Styela clava: one gene and its partner. The protein of the gene in region 1 binds, or shares a complex with, the protein of each later gene. Links are inferred from orthologs where the notes say so. Each region holds a gene or a part of one and is shown on either strand. Other genes may lie near its edges. The genes, in order: kinase D-interacting substrate of 220 kDa-like and xenotropic and polytropic retrovirus receptor 1 homolog.

Region 1 (8,366 bases):
ATGTTACATTTTTGTTATTTGTATTGGTGAATCGAATTTTACCAAATAGCCCACTGAAAAGATGTGAAATTCATGCGATATTGGCGCACAATAAGATCATTTAAAAATGTAGCAATGGTGTTACGGGAAACAAATAGATAAAAAACACATATACAACACTCAATCTTAACGGAAGCGAAAAGTACGTTTAACTCGTGTTTTTGTCAGAAATCTGCGAGTCCGTTGTGCAATTTAATCGTTTGATTCAGCGCGATTGACCCGTTGTGTCCAAGTCACATGTTACCAGGTATTGCAATAGTTTGCTGTTCGAATATTTTGCCCAGCCCTCCTTGCCTTTTATGTTACTTAAATCGTAACTTGGCTGGTACTTGAGTCTGGTAAAAACGTTTTCGCCCCGCAATGAATTTTGCGACACTGAAAAGGTTAGTGACCTACATTAAATATACTACTACATAACTTTATAATTTGGTCGATGCGGACTCATTCGAACTTTCTGCAGCTCATTTGAGGAGTGGAAGTGGTGACTCCTCTTCGGCCCATGGGCCGCGGCCCATTAAGTTAGTTCCTTTACACTTGGCTAACACAGACAGTCCCCAAACTCATAATAGAACTATAATGTAAGAAATCTGAACAAAATTTTGCCCTAACCCTAACCTGGTACACATACTACAGGAGTTTATTTTTTGGTTGAATTAGATAATTGAATTTTTCCTGACGAGGCCGCGGCCCATAGCTTGATGGGCCACGGCCCATGTGGCCCAATTAGATGGGCTGTGGCCCCGGCCCATGGGTCGTAGAGGAGTCACCACCCCTGTAGCATTTGAGACCGCGGACTCGGGTTGGGAAACACTGCTCTAAGCCTTCTACCTACCGAACGCACGACTTTTGTGATTTATATGCGGGAGTATGGAAGAATTGTGCTGACGATAGTAAAAGGCACTCAACGTCAAAATAACATTTAATTTGAGCTGAATAAAATTGAGCCATTATTTAGGTTGCACTGAAATATAATATGCCGTTTCGAGAACATTGTTAGATTTGGCTTGCATGCCTCACACTTTTGCCCATTTATATTTCTCTATTATCTTAACAATCCCAGACAAATCATGGTATATCTTTATTATCTTGATTTCCTGTTGACAGTGACTCATTATTGCGCCATAGTAAAGACATAGGAAGCGAAACTTTTCCCCGGGTTTTGATATAATGCCCTTTTCTGATACTTTGTTCTATACGACACTGTGGGATTGCGAAAGTGTCGTTTAATATTGAGATTTGCCTTGGATACAGTTTATATTAGGGGTGCGGGCTTCGTGAAATCTGTCATATTAAGTTGGCTTAGTTAGGCCCTATTTAGTATTGGCTAATATTGCTTGTTATTGTAATTGTTATTTTATCATTCTTTCATTGTTTATTTATAATAGTGCATCCGTGTCGTTATAAATTAGTTTTATCGTTGGTCTTCAAGTTTCTGTGCTGTAGCAACATTTTACTTATATGTGGAGATCGATGAATACAGTTCGTTTTCTGAGGATCTCGTTGCCTTTTTACTTTTGTTGTGCAGTTACTAGAAGCTGGGAGATTGCGCATAATTCTTCAAGACGGATGCGGGTGCAAATAGGACTTCACTATAACAACGTTGAGTGGATTGGAATTCACGTTCCTACTTTAAAGACATCGAAAACATTGGGAGAAAGATCAATATCGATTAACATTAAAAAACATGATGTACTGCAAACTTGACTTAACAATTATTTCATTTACCATGATTGTCTGAGACTAGGGCTGGGCGTTTCGAAACACTGATATGTCGAAACGGCGGCGTTTCGACCTTCGAAACGGATATTATGACGTCATAGCAAATGCAACCTGAAATTAGTCAAGGTATCATTCAGGGATGTCCAATTCGAATTTGATATCAAAATTTATTCGAATATCGTGACTCTCAAATATCGTTTTTAGTGTTTATAAAAATATTAAATATCGCGCAAACGTCCTAGCGCCGCCGTCCACGTTTTGATTGAAAATTTATAACACGTCGAGGAAGTTTTTAATTAAAAATATTTTACAATTATTATGGTATATTTTAACATAGTTGAGATAGTCTGGGACACTCTGGGTAACTGCGCAATAAATCTAAAATCAAATCAAATTTAGCTCAACGATGTCGATGTAACGCTGACGATAATAAACAGTCAGGGTCACAACGAAAATTAGGCGTATCAAAAATCCGAGTTATTGTTGATTTTACTGTATAATTTAAACATTCCACCTAGTTGTTCTTTTTTCTGTGCTTGCCACGATACACCATAATTCATAAATACTGTAATGTTTACCAAGTCCATTTCCTTAGAGGAAAAAAAATAACTAATTTTAATAAAAGACCAATTCCTATGTTCCTGGAGTTTAGAATGTATTCGGAATTCGGAAGATTCAAAAATATCTTTTTCCAGAATGTATTTGAAATAGTCAGGTACTCGGTTATGGCTCTCCCTAGTATAATTACCACACTGGATCACAAGAATTTGTGGCATCGGATAAATTAGAAAATGACCCCACCCATTACATTAGATGAGGGCAGGGCCGCATTGAGATGTTGAGAGGCCCCATGCTCTGCTGCTTGTGAGCCCCATCTCTAACAATGACGTAATTCGTATTATCCTGGCGCCATTTGGCCGCTGCTTTGTCATTGAGCAGAAACATTCGTGGAATTATCATTATCGTTTTATCCTCTCGAATTAGCATCCAGTGATATCCTTTTGTGGATTTAATTGTGGAAAATATATGTCATTATACATTAAATTCGATGGGTAATAATGGTATCATATTTTACTGTTTATGACAAACGTGTGTTTCGTTTCAAAGGCAAAATTTCGTTTCGAAAATGCCCAGCCCTATCTGAGACTATTTCAAATTGTCACGCACCATAATAGGTAGAATAAATGAGAATACATACCATTACTGCATTACCGTTCATTCTGTTACTTCTACTACTAACGCCTTCTATCTTCAGCTACCAGTATGAGTACTGGTACCTCTTTAATATTACACTATTTTATCTATTATGTGTACACAAAGTTCTAAAGTATAAGTATAAGTTTATTTCGACTCCATAATTAATACATAACAGCTTTTCCCTTGAATTCTCTTTTAAAAACATCAAGCTAAAAATCCCAAAAATAATAACAAGATGATTATTGCCTTTTAGCGCCATCTTGAGGCCATGATGTTCTCGCACAAAAGCGTTTCTGGTAATTTTGTATCCTAAGTTTTATTCACGCAGCTGGGCGTAAATAAGGTACCGGTACCCTATATCCGCTACCCCAAGTACACTACACCGAATAGTCACGGATATCATGATAATTCCGGGCAAAGCCCGGAATAATATGAATATTTCGTGAATTTATTTGCTTACATTTTATTGTGACTTTCCTGAACAGCTAATAAGTCTAGTACCAAGTCCATGCTTCCGAAAACAAACAATATAACTAATCCCATACCCGACTTGGAATGGTAACAGGACGAGAGGCCGTGGTTCGCCATATGGATAAGCCGTCTTATCGGCTTTCCTCTCCCCCGGGATAAATATGTAAATCCTATCCTATCCTAATAAAACGGTTCCATTACATTTGAACCCATGACAATTGCACCTGTATGCTATTGCACCTATGGAATTTTTTTTGTTTCTCGGATAGTTAAACCGATACTAACCCTAACCCATGGGTTTTAGCACCCGCATATAGATTGAACCCGTAGATATACGCATGGGTTCAAATGTACATGGGTTCAAATGTACTGTCACCTAATAAAACAATTTGATTAATTGATTGACCTGCAGACCTGAGACCTGTACCGGTATTACCGGTATTCTTCAGTTCTTGAAAGAAACATGGCTGTAGGGTAGATTCGTAATGTCAGATTGCAAGATTGTCAGACATCAGGTCAGGTTATAGTTTATTTGGTTAGACTCTGTCCTGTTGTTGATGTGACTAGCCTATCACTGTATCACCCCAATGCTGATGGAATTAGGTACGGTATGTGATAATTCAAGACAAATGAGTTCTTACTATTTGTCATGTAGCAAAAGAAGATAACATGCGGTTAACCCACCTCTTTATGCAGTCATGCACCCAACTTTGGTTGGGCAATTTGACTCCCAACTTTGGTTGGGCAATTTGGCTCCCAACTTTAATGAGCTTGGTGAAATCTTTTTTTATGTCTTTACTGCTTTATGTCCATAATGAATACTGTTCACTCTTGTTTACATAATCTGTATTCAATTTGAGAACTTTTATAAAATTATTAAAATGGTGTGGCAAATGATTCTTATTTTTAATTACAATTCTTATTTTTTATTTTAATTTCTTTTTCATTTATTTATCTTTTCGTTTGTTTGTGTCATTTAAATTTATCTAAAGCTCATTTTTCTAACTTTATTTTACCCCCATGGTTGTGCGTGTGTGTGTGAATTGATTCAATAATTTTGGGTAAGTGAACATGTACGACTTCTTTTTCGCAAAACCTTTCATCTTATATTCTGTACCCTTATCCAAGGTTTTGTTTGCTCTCCTAATTTCATAATCAGTTTTTATTTATTTATTTTTATCAATTGATCAATCACCTTTTATGGTGATTATGGAGTCGAAATGGACTTATCTTATCTACATTGTCTCTGTATCTTCAGATCTTGGCGCAGACCAATAGTGAAATATATCCAAAAGAATCTTCTCGATACTTTCAGCAGCTGTTTTGTTTATCATAACTTGTATTTATGACTATTACTGTATTAGAACTGTAGAAAATGCTAAAATAGACCGATACTGCAATTCGATATTGGCGTTATAACTAATACTGTAATAATTAATCTAACGTCAATCATTCTTTATTGAAGTGCCTACTTTTAGTCATTCCCCCTAAGTAATATCAAGCTTTATACTTAAGTACCGGGACAGAAATGACCCAAGATCGGGGAAAAGTTGTCGAGTTACAATTTTTGGAACCTTTGTTATTGCATGATATTGTATCCAATGGAACAACAACTGAAGTGGAAAATGCACTTAAAAACATCCCAGTGGATCAACGAAATCAGGTTAGTCATTTTTGCATTTGCATATTTACCTTGTGTTGTTATGATATGCTAGGTTTTCATATTTATTCTATGAGAGAGGTAAACAATGATACCCATACTGACCTATGCCATTTTAATATTACATGAGTTGGATTATATCCTCTGGTTTGTTGCCATATTCAGAAGTTTTAAAAGTATAACAGCCAAAAGTTCAATACATTCGTATAATTTTATTTCTGGCACAAGCCTTGTTTAACTAGGTTCGTGTCCTTTGTAATTTTTTTTGTGTTTGTGCCGGTGAGCATCACATGACATTTTTCATGTTTTAAATTTTTTAAAGGTTTTACTCTCACTCCAGAATTCTCCATTTTTGATTTGTGTATAATATTATGAATTTCTCAAATCAAACTATCGAGGCTAGTTCACTAAATGCCATCAAGTAGGCTACTTCTAGTTGACGTGGCGTAGCCATTTTCGCATATGTCATTTCTAACCCCCACCTGACTATGCCATCCATAAATTACATCACTATAACGTCACAGTGACGAAATAAGGCCTGTCAAAGTATACGTTTTGTCGACCAAAACGCACAGACGATCACCCGAAATCAAGCAAGCTACTTCTCTCGTTTCTGGTCGTAATGATCCCGATATATTTCTGCCTGAAATATAAAAATCAAACTTCGTTGTCCGCCGTTGCGTGAGAACTAATACTAGTACTTTGAAATATAGTTTACCAACAATAATTATGATGTCGGTCGCCGAAACGATCGTGGTGACACAAAAAAAACAATTCGCGATTGTGATCAAATTAAGAACTGAAAAAGTAATTTCTTATTATCAGTAAATAAAAAGGAATATTTGAATTATTCGACCAGGAAAAATTAGATTTTACCTGTCACTGATCGCCGCATATGTAAATATTTATTGAGTAACAAAAATAATAAAAATTCAGCTCGATAAACATTAAATTACCACGAGTAATAATATCACGTTTCATGCACATTTATTCGATGCGACTTGCGAGCTTTTTTGTGCACAGGGTTACCATCTACCCAATGCCAAAAATAATCACGGGTGTTGAAATTTTTATTTTTTGGGGGGTACGTAACAACGGCAGAAACATAGAATAAAAATGACAAAGAAATCATACACTAGCCTTTTTCGCACTTCTAAATTTTTATTTTTATTATAAGTCGCTTCAGACAAGGTTGTGTGCAGACCCGAAACCGCAAAAAGCCGTGGAAGACACGAAGTCACAGCCATTCGCAACCTCTAAAGTTTTCATACTTTGGTTTCCCACAATGCAATCCTTGTGGTAGTATTGTGGACATTAATTGATGTTTTCTCCATAGCCTCTAGGTTGATATTGCTGCCTGGAAATACCGCAAACCCTTCCGTCACAATAATAACAAAACGAAGCGTGAATAATGATAAACGTCCCAACATCTTTTCCGCGGAAGTTTTGTACGCAAAACATGAACGAGTCATCCATGCTCCCTAAGACAAAATAAGCGCGCAACTCAAAAATTAGCACTTTTCTTAGAAATAAGCACATTATTACTTTATTACTTTATAAGACGCGGGCTAGAAAATAGCACAAATCTTAGAAATAAGCTTAGCATGTCATGGTAACCCTGCGTATATACGAATGTAACGCCACTGACATCTGTGAGTTATACTTTTTTCTCAAAATTAGTTTTACAATTTTATCGTTATATTTCTCACATTTGTTGTTCATTTATTGACCAATAAAAAGCGAACAGCGTGACATGTTTACCGCTGATTACGGATTAGTTACTGTTTGAGGATTAGCAAAAATATGCTTGAGATAGGGCGTGCCAAACATTCACCAAACGACGACTGGCAAGGGTAGGTGAGCTACACGCAACTCTGGAATTTATTCAGAAGACTTTCACTGACATTTTTTTGTTTTTAAACACCTTAGGGCGTCGTGAATATGCACTTTGCGTGGTAAAACAGAAAGAAAAAGTTGAATTTCTCGTTGAATGCGTTATCAGTCTGCGATTGACGCATGATGTCTTGGATGTAAATATTTATTGAATAACAATGAAAATTCAGCCCGATTAACATTAAATTACCACGAGTAATAGTTTCACATTTTATGCACATTTAATCAATTCTACTTGTGAGCTCGTTTTTTGCATATATACGATTGTAAAGCCACTGACATCTGAGAGTTATACCTTTCTCTCAGAATTAATTTTCACTATTTTTATCGCTTATTTCTAACATTTCTGACATTTGTTTCTCTCTGGAAATAGCTAGCTCATTTATGGAACCATAAAAAGCGAACAGGGTGACACGGTTACCGCAGATTACGGATTAGTTACTGTTCAAGGATTAGCAAATATATGCTTAAAAATAGGACGTGCCTAACATTCACCAAACGTCGTCTGGCAAGGGGAGGCGAGCTACACGCAACTCTGGAATTTATTCAGCAGACTGTTTTGTTCTTAAACGCCTTACGGCGTCGTGAATATGCACTTTGCGTGGCAGAAAAGAGCGAAAAATTGAATTTCTCGTTGAATACGCCATCAGTCTGCGATTGACGTATGATGTGCCGGACTCGGATAAAATCATCAAGGGCTCGGTCCGAATCCGAGTATCAAATTACAAGAGATTCGGTCACGAATCCGAGCACAAGCCCGAATTTTGTCGCATCCCTAATATACGGTAGGTGTTATTGTATTCTGGTCACTTAATAATATCTCATGCCTAATTCAGTTTCAGCAAACTGCTTTACATGTTGCGTGTGAATTAGGAAGACCAGAAGTTGCAACAATTTTTATTTCTTCTGAAGCTAATACAGAAGCAAAAGATCAGGAAGGAACAACTCCATTAATTGCTGCAAGTAGAAGTGGATCTTTGGCATGTGTGCAGTTATTATTGAAAGATAATGCTGATGTGCATGTAACGGACAATGTGAGTTGATACAGTTTGATTTTAGATGAACACTTTTTTAAAGTGTTTGTGGCAGATTATTTTTGATTTAAAATATTACTTTAGTTTTATAATAAATCATTTTTCATGAATGATGAAGCCATGTGAAAACACTGCGCTTACAACAAATTGTTGTATAATTGACCAATTTTAAAGAACTTTCAGTTGTAAGTTGATTGATAACCTTTTACTTTTTTTGCTCACACATAAATATTTACTTTTGTCAGCAAGTTATTTTTCTCGCATTTTATTATTCTTGAATATCTTAAATATAAAAATATCTTATATATATCTGAACATAGAATGAATATTGTGAAATTGGTATAATTTGACAT
Region 2 (8,708 bases), on another chromosome or scaffold:
CATAGAATTTTACACCCCACAATTAATAATTTATTGACGAGATCAGGCAACGGAAATATCATGTTTCTTCATATTCAATTTTGCAACCCTACCACCGGACAGTGCATCCCTCCTTTTTCTCCTATACTCAGTCCATCTCTCCAAAGATAAACCAGAATATTTTATACAAAATTACCTATTTGTATATAAGTGACATCAACTGATAAAGCAGTTCATATATTTTTAACAGGTTTCCGAGGTTTAAAGCAATGGTCAAAGAAACTACTTCAAAGGCCATTGTAGACTGTGATGCAGGAGAATCCACCAGCAATGAGGAAGTGGGCTTTGACTCAACAAGTTTATTAGATAACAACAGAAAGGCAAAACATGTTCGACGAAGAGATATTCACTCCAATGGAACACATCATGCAATTCAAGATTGAATCGACATCTTTTTTTACACCTTTTGTATTCATTTGGTCCACCATATCTTGACAAACTTTGCCCATCATTGAAAAATTACTAAACTTTTGGATCATACGCTATCCACCAACTCTGAGAGAGAAATAGATAGATTCAGAATGTAATTTGCTAATTACCTCAAGTATTTGCTGCATAATAAATGCTATGCAATGAGTTTCTGGTTTTTGACTCCTAACCCTTGCAAATATGTCTATATTCTGAATCATTATGGTACAATGACTTGATTAAAGACTAGCGCGTCACACTTAATTGTCTAGATGCTCTTACTTAGTTTTGTCCTCTCGTCAGCAGAATTCATATGAGAACCTCTGTCATTTGGAACTCACTTCTCAGATCCTTGTATACTACTATTAGAAACAAATACCCGAGAAATTAAGAGGTTTGATAACCTGGGTATTCATATGTACAAAGATAAGTCATAGTCAAGTTTTATTATTTATCAAGTAAAAAAAAGCATAAATAAATCATAGTAGGATGCCGAGTGACAACCAAATCTATTCAAAAGATCAGGAATTCTAGATGTCAAAGTACGGTACCGTCGTTATCTGTGAGTGTATGGCTTGGCAGCTGACCACTCAATCTCCAAATCTGATAAATTCAACAACTATTCCATAACTCAGTGTTTCTCAAACTGTGTGCCGCTGAGCTTTTTGGAATTTTAGATATCGAGCCATTTGTATTACACATAGTCATGCAGACAACGGACAAGCTTGGGAGACTCGTTGGGCCCGCACTATCCATTTAGATAATTTGTATTGCATTTGCCTTGTTGATGTAGTGAGAGGGGTCGTTAAAATGGTATTGGATCGTTATAATGTATTTGTGGACTTCCAAAATGTTGACGACTTGCTCGCTTAGTTAGGCTACCTGCTTACAAATCCTATTCATTTGTCAGTGTGGAGGCCATCGAAATAATCGTGCTATTTGAATCTTCATGGCTTTGTTTCTTGTAATTGACAACGAAATGTGGTTACGGTTGGCAGCAACGAAACTTTGTTTTAAATCTTAAATCTTAGTTTTCCCCAAAACAGGCACACGCACTGTATTAACATTTGCAGAATGAATTGGTTTAAAGCAATTTTTTACAAGTGTGCCGCAAATTTTTTTTTATTTGCTGAGTGTGCCGCGAGCAAAAAAAGTTTGAGAATCACTGCCATAACTTGTGGATCTCTATGCTAACAAGCCTGGAAAGTCACTGCTTTTAAAAGCCTAATGAATTGCAGTAGAAAACATGAAGTTCAGACTGATTTATTTACTGAAGCATTGAGTAGTACGCTCATGCTAATATTTTCCCAAATAATAAATAAAAAGGGAAATTACTTATAACAATAAACATTTGACATCACAAAATACAACACATTGAAAAAAATAAAAATTAAGAGAATACTTGTCTAAGGTACTATCACCCAGGGCCTGGTATAGATGCTTTACAAGCACTTTGAACAATCTATGATGCTCGGCCTTCCAGCGTCAATCAAATTTGATAAGGTAGTGAACACCATTCATATCAAGACACAATGCTTAAGCATTTTTTTTGTGGCATCCCAGTCCAGAGCGTTCTTCCATTTATTGATAATCATGTATAGTACGGAGGCTTCTTTACATTGATACCATATTCTGAAAGTGCTGGTGCAAGATCGTCCAAAGTCAACACATATCTTTAAAAAGAAGACATATTAAATTTGTGTAGATGGTAAACCGACTATCCGTATAAAACTTACTTTTTCTCTTTTGCTTTACTAGATCTTGACTGTTGAGATGATCCCTTTAGCTTGCTAGTCTGAAGAGCATCGTTGATTATATCAGACATGAATTTTTGAGCAGCCAGTGCTAGGATTCGAACTCTATAATGTGAAAATTACAACGTTAAAATACGAAACAGGAGCATCATATTTAAAACCTGCATACACATTTACCGATAAATAATACTTACATTCTTCCGTCCGTAGTATCAACACCAGATTTGCTCAAATAGTGTGCAGCAACGGAGTCTGGAATCTGTTCAATCAGAGTAATATCTTTGAATGTAACTTGATTCACAGATTTGTAAACTTAAACACCAATACGTATAATGATTGATAGGTATATTTTTTACAGATTATTTGAGCCGTTAGATGTGTGGACTACTACTATTTTTTGCAATACTTCCATGCTTCCAAAAACAAATAACTAATCCCATACCTGACATGGAATGGTAACCAGACAAGACTGCAAGAGGCAGTGGTTCGCCATATGATTAAGCCGTCTTATCGACTTTTCTCTCCCCATGGATAAATATGTAAATCCCATCCTTCCCCACACAAATTTGCCTAAGGCAAGGTATTGGACCCCAAACTAAAAATGAAAAATATACTGCATAGACGAAAATTAAAACTATTTACTGGAATAGCAAAAGTCAAAATTTATAATCGTTTTGATATTATATTATCACTGTATCACAAAGATATTGGTACTTAAATTATTCATTATAGTACAAAAAATTCAGAGTTGTTGAATAATTCCCAGTACAGCAGTATTTACTGACTTCAGTCAGGATTTATAAAAACAACATGTTAAGTCTGTAAGTTACAACTTCCTGAACTTACAGTGGGTGTGAACTCTTCAATCTGAGAAAGGAAATCTGACATTTCTTCGGAGGTTAATTGTTCAGATTCATCAATGTCCTGCTCAACTCTACTATGTGAATCTCTGTTAACGCCATTCATTTTCAATCAGAGACCTGTAAACGTCCGAGCCAGGTAAAAGAAAGGGTACAGGTATGGTACTTCTCTGTAGAACTACCGGTACGGTACCACTTCATGGCAGCTCCTGCCTCGAACGAACCGCGGCGTCTCTTGCCATGGTTTTATGGCGCTATTCAGTATTCACAAAGTCATGTACCAGATATTAGTTTATCATGCGGAATTATATCTATTTAAACCTGTAACCCAACCTCAAATACATCAAAACTGTATTCATAGGAAAAATGCTCCAACCTAGTTTTCTGAGATTAAATCGAATTTTTGTAAGTATTTATTGACAGACCAACTTTTCTAATAGTCATCTTCAATGTGAACCTTAATCTCATCAGCAAATAGGTTGGGAGTTGACCTCGATTGACCATTCCGACCATGGTCGTATCGCTCCCTCCCGTCAGTACCAAAATGACTATAAAGAGACTATTATAGTTGCTTTGGTCAATACCAAAGCAATTTTATTTGTGTTACGTATTTTTTTTCGTATTGGTGACTGTTTTGTTTTTTGGTTGACAAAATAATAAATATCTCTCTCTCTCCCTTGTGCAGGCCCCAACAGCCGGCAATTTATGCAGTTTTGAAAATTGTGGCATAACTTTTTTTTTAATAAACACATAGATTCTCGATCTTAATCTAATTTTTGTTGCAAAGATAGGATACACAGACAAAGTGAAGCCACGACCTAGTGGCGCCATACGCGCAGTGGCGTGACATAGCGAGAGGCGATAACGCTTTTTAATAACAGTTCCCTGTCTTTATTTAGCCATAATTGTACCAGTACAGTTTAATGAAAACCTAGCTACTACCGGTATTGACGAAGTACATGGGGTAGACAGGAAATTATGTGATGTTGTAGAATTATCTAGTATATATGTACGCATTTTGTAAATATTGTAAAGCTCAATACTGGCAATATGTTAACCTGAAGAAAAATCTGTAGACATTTCAATAGATCCAGAGATCGGATACCGTACCGTAGATTCCAAGTGATTCAGTAATCTTGTATAGAACTTACCGTATTCGTTTTATTGGTCGGTATAATTCAAACAATGGCTAGTGGTTTTCAATTCCTCCAGTTCATCCCAGGATACCATATTGTTCTATTACTTTAATTTACTTTGAAAAATCCATGACATGGTAAAATGGCTTCTCTTTAACACTTATTATACCCTATCACACTGTCCTTTTATACCATTATAAACTTCTGGCTGAATTGCAACCATAATAAGTTTTGTGGAAATGCTTTTAATTAATTTTTTTTTTGAAACTGCATTGCTTTTGCAGTTTTGGCTGAATCCAGAATTGGAAAAACCTTAGAAGAGTGAGTAATTTGATACATAACATAATCACATTTCACAATAACTTGTAGGGTCACATTTTTGCCAGAACAGTCATAGACCACTTATAACACTATCACCCTTGAGTGGTGCATACCATATATGTGCACACTCTTTAAACTTGACCATTCCCCCGATTTATAGTATGTGGTATCATCACTCAGTGGTGTTGTACTTACATCCAAATTCTTTTATTACTATATTTACATGCAGTGTGTTTCATGTTGTGTTTCTATTTATAGATGTTGTTTTGTCTTACAAACTCCTTTGTACAAACAGTTTTGTATTCTCCATCCTTATCTCTGTTATTACACCCACTCACCCTCCTTGCACAACTGTCTGTATAAGGACCATATTATACGTATTTGATTTACCATATTATAATTTATACCTATCAAATGGGGTGTATGCCGCACATTTGTGTTTTGGGCCAGTATGGTCCAGCATACATCCCGTCTTCAGTATTTATAATTACTAATTCTTTTATATTGCTTTTACGAGACTAATTAAGATACATACAGAAGTAATTTAAATTGGATATCTCAGTTACACTACTGTCAAGGATGGTACCGGTATTCTTATCCAGATATTGATTTAGGTAAGAATCAAAGTTTAAGCTCTTCGGCCTCCAGTCATATGAATCATTTTGGTTTACTTTTTATATCGCTAAGATTTTCCATAAAAACTGTCCTATGTCTGTATATTTATCCAATCTTGCTTCAACATGTGATCTTAATATGTCTAATGTAAGTAAAAGTGCTAGAATCAAATCTTCTATTTATTTTCAGATATCTAAAGAGTGTGTTTGTTGAACTAATATTATAATAATGAAGTTTGGTGAGAATTTACAAGCTCATTTGACTCCTGAATGGAGGAGTCAATACATAGATTATGAATTTCTGAAAACTTTACTCTATGACTGTAGAGAAGAAAGTCCTGATGCTGAAATCACAGAAGAAGCAACAGTACAGCGATACTATGCACGATTCGAAGAAAAATTCTTTGCTATTTGTGACAAGGAATTAACTAAAGTTAATACATTTTATGCTGAGAAGCTGGCTGAATCAACCAGAAAGTTTGCAACACTTCAAAGCGAACTCCAAGCACAAAAAGCATCCCTTTTGAAAAAGGGGCCTGTGCGACAAAGAAGAAAAAGTGAATTTCTAATACCCACAAGAAAAAATGTCCAAGTCAAAACTGTGAAAGATCTCAAATTGGCTTTTTCTGAATTCTATTTGAGTCTTATCCTCCTACAAAATTACCAAGAATTAAACTTCACTGGTTTTCGTAAAATTCTCAAAAAGCATGATAAAATGCTTGAAACTGATAAAGGGTGCAAATGGCGTCAAAAATATGTGGAAACAGCCCCTTTTTATACAGATACACATAACTCACAATTAATTTTAAAAACAGAGACAAAATACATAAATGATTTGGAGGGAGGGGATCGTTCCAAGGCAATGAAAAGATTACGTGTGCCACCACTGAGTGAGTTTGAAATGTATCCAAGATGGACGGTCTTTCGAGTAGGCCTCTTCTTAGGTATATTGTGCATGATATTTGTTGTGGGAATAATATCTGCAATAATATTGGAAGTAAAAGTGGATCCATGGCTGGCATTGGACCTTTATCGGCCTGGATTAGTACTCTTCTTGTTTTTATTCTTCATTGGGATTAACACATGGGGATGGCGATCTGCTGGAGTGAATCACGTGCTTATATTTGAAATAGATCCTCGAAATCATTTGTCACATTACCATTTGTTTGAGCTAGCTGCATTAGCAGGGATTCTTTGGGCCATCAGTGGTATATTTTTGATATTTGGCAATTTAGAACCTCTCTCGGATCATTTTCCTGTTTATCTCAATCCTGGATTATTGTACGCGACTTATTTAATCTTTCTACTGAATCCCTTACCTATTCTGTACCATAAGGCCAGGTTTTGGCTTTTATGTCGAATGTGGCGACTGTTTGCTTGTGGGTTTTATCACGTTGAATTTGCTGATTTCTGGCTGGCAGATCAATTGAACAGTCTTGTCTCATTATATATTGACTTTGAATTCGTTGTATGCTTCTATGGCTTTGATGGAAATATATGGGATGGATGGAGAGGCGAAAAAAATTTAAGAACATGTGCTTCATATTCATATGGTCTACGTGCAGTTCTTGCATGCTACCCAGCATGGATACGTTTTATTCAATGCCTCAGACGTTTTTATGACAGCAGAAAATGGTTCCCTCATTTTGTAAATGCTGGCAAGTACTCAACAGTTTTTTTCAAAGTGCTATTCAATGCATTGTTCGTGTTGCATTTTGACCATACAGGTGAACTAAACAGTGTATATTTTTATTTGTGGTTAGCTAGCTTGTTTATAAGCAGCTGTTATACGCTAGCTTGGGACATAAAAATGGACTGGGGATTTTTAGACAAAAATGCTGGTGAAAATAAATGGCTACGTGAAGAGATTGTTTATTCCTATAAAGCGTATTACTATTTTGCTATTGTTGAAGATTTTATTTTAAGATTTTCTTGGGTAATAAGTGTTGCAATCACCCATACTTTAAAATCAACTGTTTCTAATGGGATATTAAAAACTGTTTTTGTTATATTGGAAGTTTTTCGACGTTTTATTTGGAATTTTTTTCGACTTGAGAACGAACATTTAAATAACTGTGGTGAGTTTCGAGCAGTTCGGGATATTTCAGTTGCACCACTACGAGAAGATGATCTTGCGACATTAATGCGTATGATGGATGACGAAAATGGTGTGGAGGATTATAGAAGAAGAGTGCGGGAAGGTGGTTCTGGGGGGAAATCACTAGGATCAAATTTATCTCGCAAAGTAGGATCATCTATTCGTCATAATGCTTCTTCTGGTGTTATGTTGTATGTCGGCAGTGGGGGCTCTGACGAGGAAGGAACAAGTACAAGTGCTATTTGATTGAAATATTATTCTCTTATCGATCATTTTTTGTCATCTAATAGGTAAACTTTATATAATGGTGCTAATCATAGTGCTGTATTATTTATGTTTGAAACCTTGCCAGATTGAGAATACATCTGAAAAAATACATCTTTATGTAGTAAATATTGTGAATTACCGTATAAAGTCATCGAGATAATCAAAACGGTGAAAATTGGATGTCATGGCTAAAATTTGGAAACCAAAAAATGTCAGACAATTTTGTGATACATCTGTTTCCATAGTTTAGTAGTAATGATTTTGCTTCTCATTTGCATTGATTCATTGTGAGAGTCTTTCAGTCACTAATTTTTATTCTTCTAAGCAAACCATCCAAAGTTCCAAAATATTTAAGAACATGAAATCCAAGATTTTACTGTTGCTATAACCAAATATTGTACAGTAAGAGTGTAAGACAAAAATTCACCACGCTTGAATTATGAAACATTCTTTTCTACCATCTTATTTGTATTTTGAATGTATTTGTCAATTCCGTATTTGTTTTTTTTTTTATGGTATTTCATGGACACTGTTGGAAGCTATTTGCAAATTCGATACCTGTGCATATATATTTTATTCATGAGGGGACTCTCACCTGAAATTGAATTAATTGAGAAAAGGGCACTTGCTTAGAGTAATAAATTCACTATTCTTACATGACCTACTGTTCAGACTTGTATTGCAGCCTTATGGATTTACTATAATATCAGTCATTATGTGAAACCTATGTTTTATTATTATTAAGAATGGCAAGAGTTTGAATTGAAGTAAACATGGAATATGATGGAATGATAGTTGTTCTGAAACTGTATAATATTAATAATGAATACTTGAGCGTTGAGCCAAAAAATGTTGTTTTCCATATTTAAAATAAAAAGCCTCACTTGGAAAAAATTTGTTGTATACCTTTCAATTGCTTGGAATTGTTACTTGTGTTGTTGCCTTGTAAATTTGTTTTATTGTTTTATAACCTATTGCTATACTGCCTACAGCTATGACTTTCTGTGCTGTGAAATAAACACAAACAATGTGATGCCTTTATTATTTATAGCCATTAAATTCAATATCATTTTTGTGTTTCCTTGAATTACTAAGATTGTGGGCCCATTCCTGTTGTACCTATTTGCTGAGCATTGGCTGGATGTCAATAAATGAATCCCCAATAATTACTTTTCAATTTCAATGAATAAGCACTTTTATTCATCCTATTG

What was found.
Region 2: the proteins of kinase D-interacting substrate of 220 kDa-like (region 1) and xenotropic and polytropic retrovirus receptor 1 homolog are in contact, whole or in part, in a cryo-EM structure (PDB 9JXQ), measured with the Homo sapiens proteins. The link is inferred for Styela clava from reciprocal best matches to the Homo sapiens genes KIDINS220 and XPR1. Residues at the interface, in NP_065789.1 of Homo sapiens: Glu36, Cys37, Gln39, Asp70, Trp72, Met102, Trp105, Trp110, Tyr113, Lys114, Val138, Ile142, Trp143, Gly146, Arg147, Ser166, Asp167, Lys168, Tyr169, Gly170, Trp176, Arg179, Lys180, Gln198, Glu199, Gly200, Ala201, Ser203, Lys234, Arg267; in NP_004727.2 of Homo sapiens: Leu95, Lys189, Lys190, Gln193, Glu197, Ala200, Asn204, Glu205, Ala636, Asp637, Asp638, Leu641, Leu642, Gln644, Met645, Met646, Asp647, Gln648, Asp649, Asp650, Val652, Arg653, Asn654, Arg655.

Annotation. Positions count from the first base shown.
Region 1 is NC_135250.1:11,590,916-11,599,281, forward strand, and holds the start of kinase D-interacting substrate of 220 kDa-like, read left to right. Parts: upstream 1-4,873; 5' UTR 4,874-4,954; coding exon 4,955-5,089; intron 5,090-7,815; coding exon 7,816-8,013; intron 8,014-8,366. UniProt on the Homo sapiens protein: Promotes a prolonged MAP-kinase signaling by neurotrophins through activation of a Rap1-dependent mechanism. Provides a docking site for the CRKL-C3G complex, resulting in Rap1-dependent sustained ERK activation.
Region 2 is NC_135252.1:4,384,036-4,392,743, forward strand, and holds the start of xenotropic and polytropic retrovirus receptor 1 homolog, read left to right. Parts: upstream 1-5,016; 5' UTR 5,017-5,132; intron 5,133-5,322; 5' UTR 5,323-5,361; coding exon 5,362-7,476; 3' UTR 7,477-8,708. Other genes in the region: phosphatidylserine synthase 2-like, read left to right, coding at 230-422; transcription initiation factor TFIID subunit 10-like, read right to left, coding at 2,039-2,120, 2,184-2,306, 2,396-2,460, 3,048-3,167. UniProt on the Homo sapiens protein: Inorganic ion transporter that mediates phosphate ion export across plasma membrane.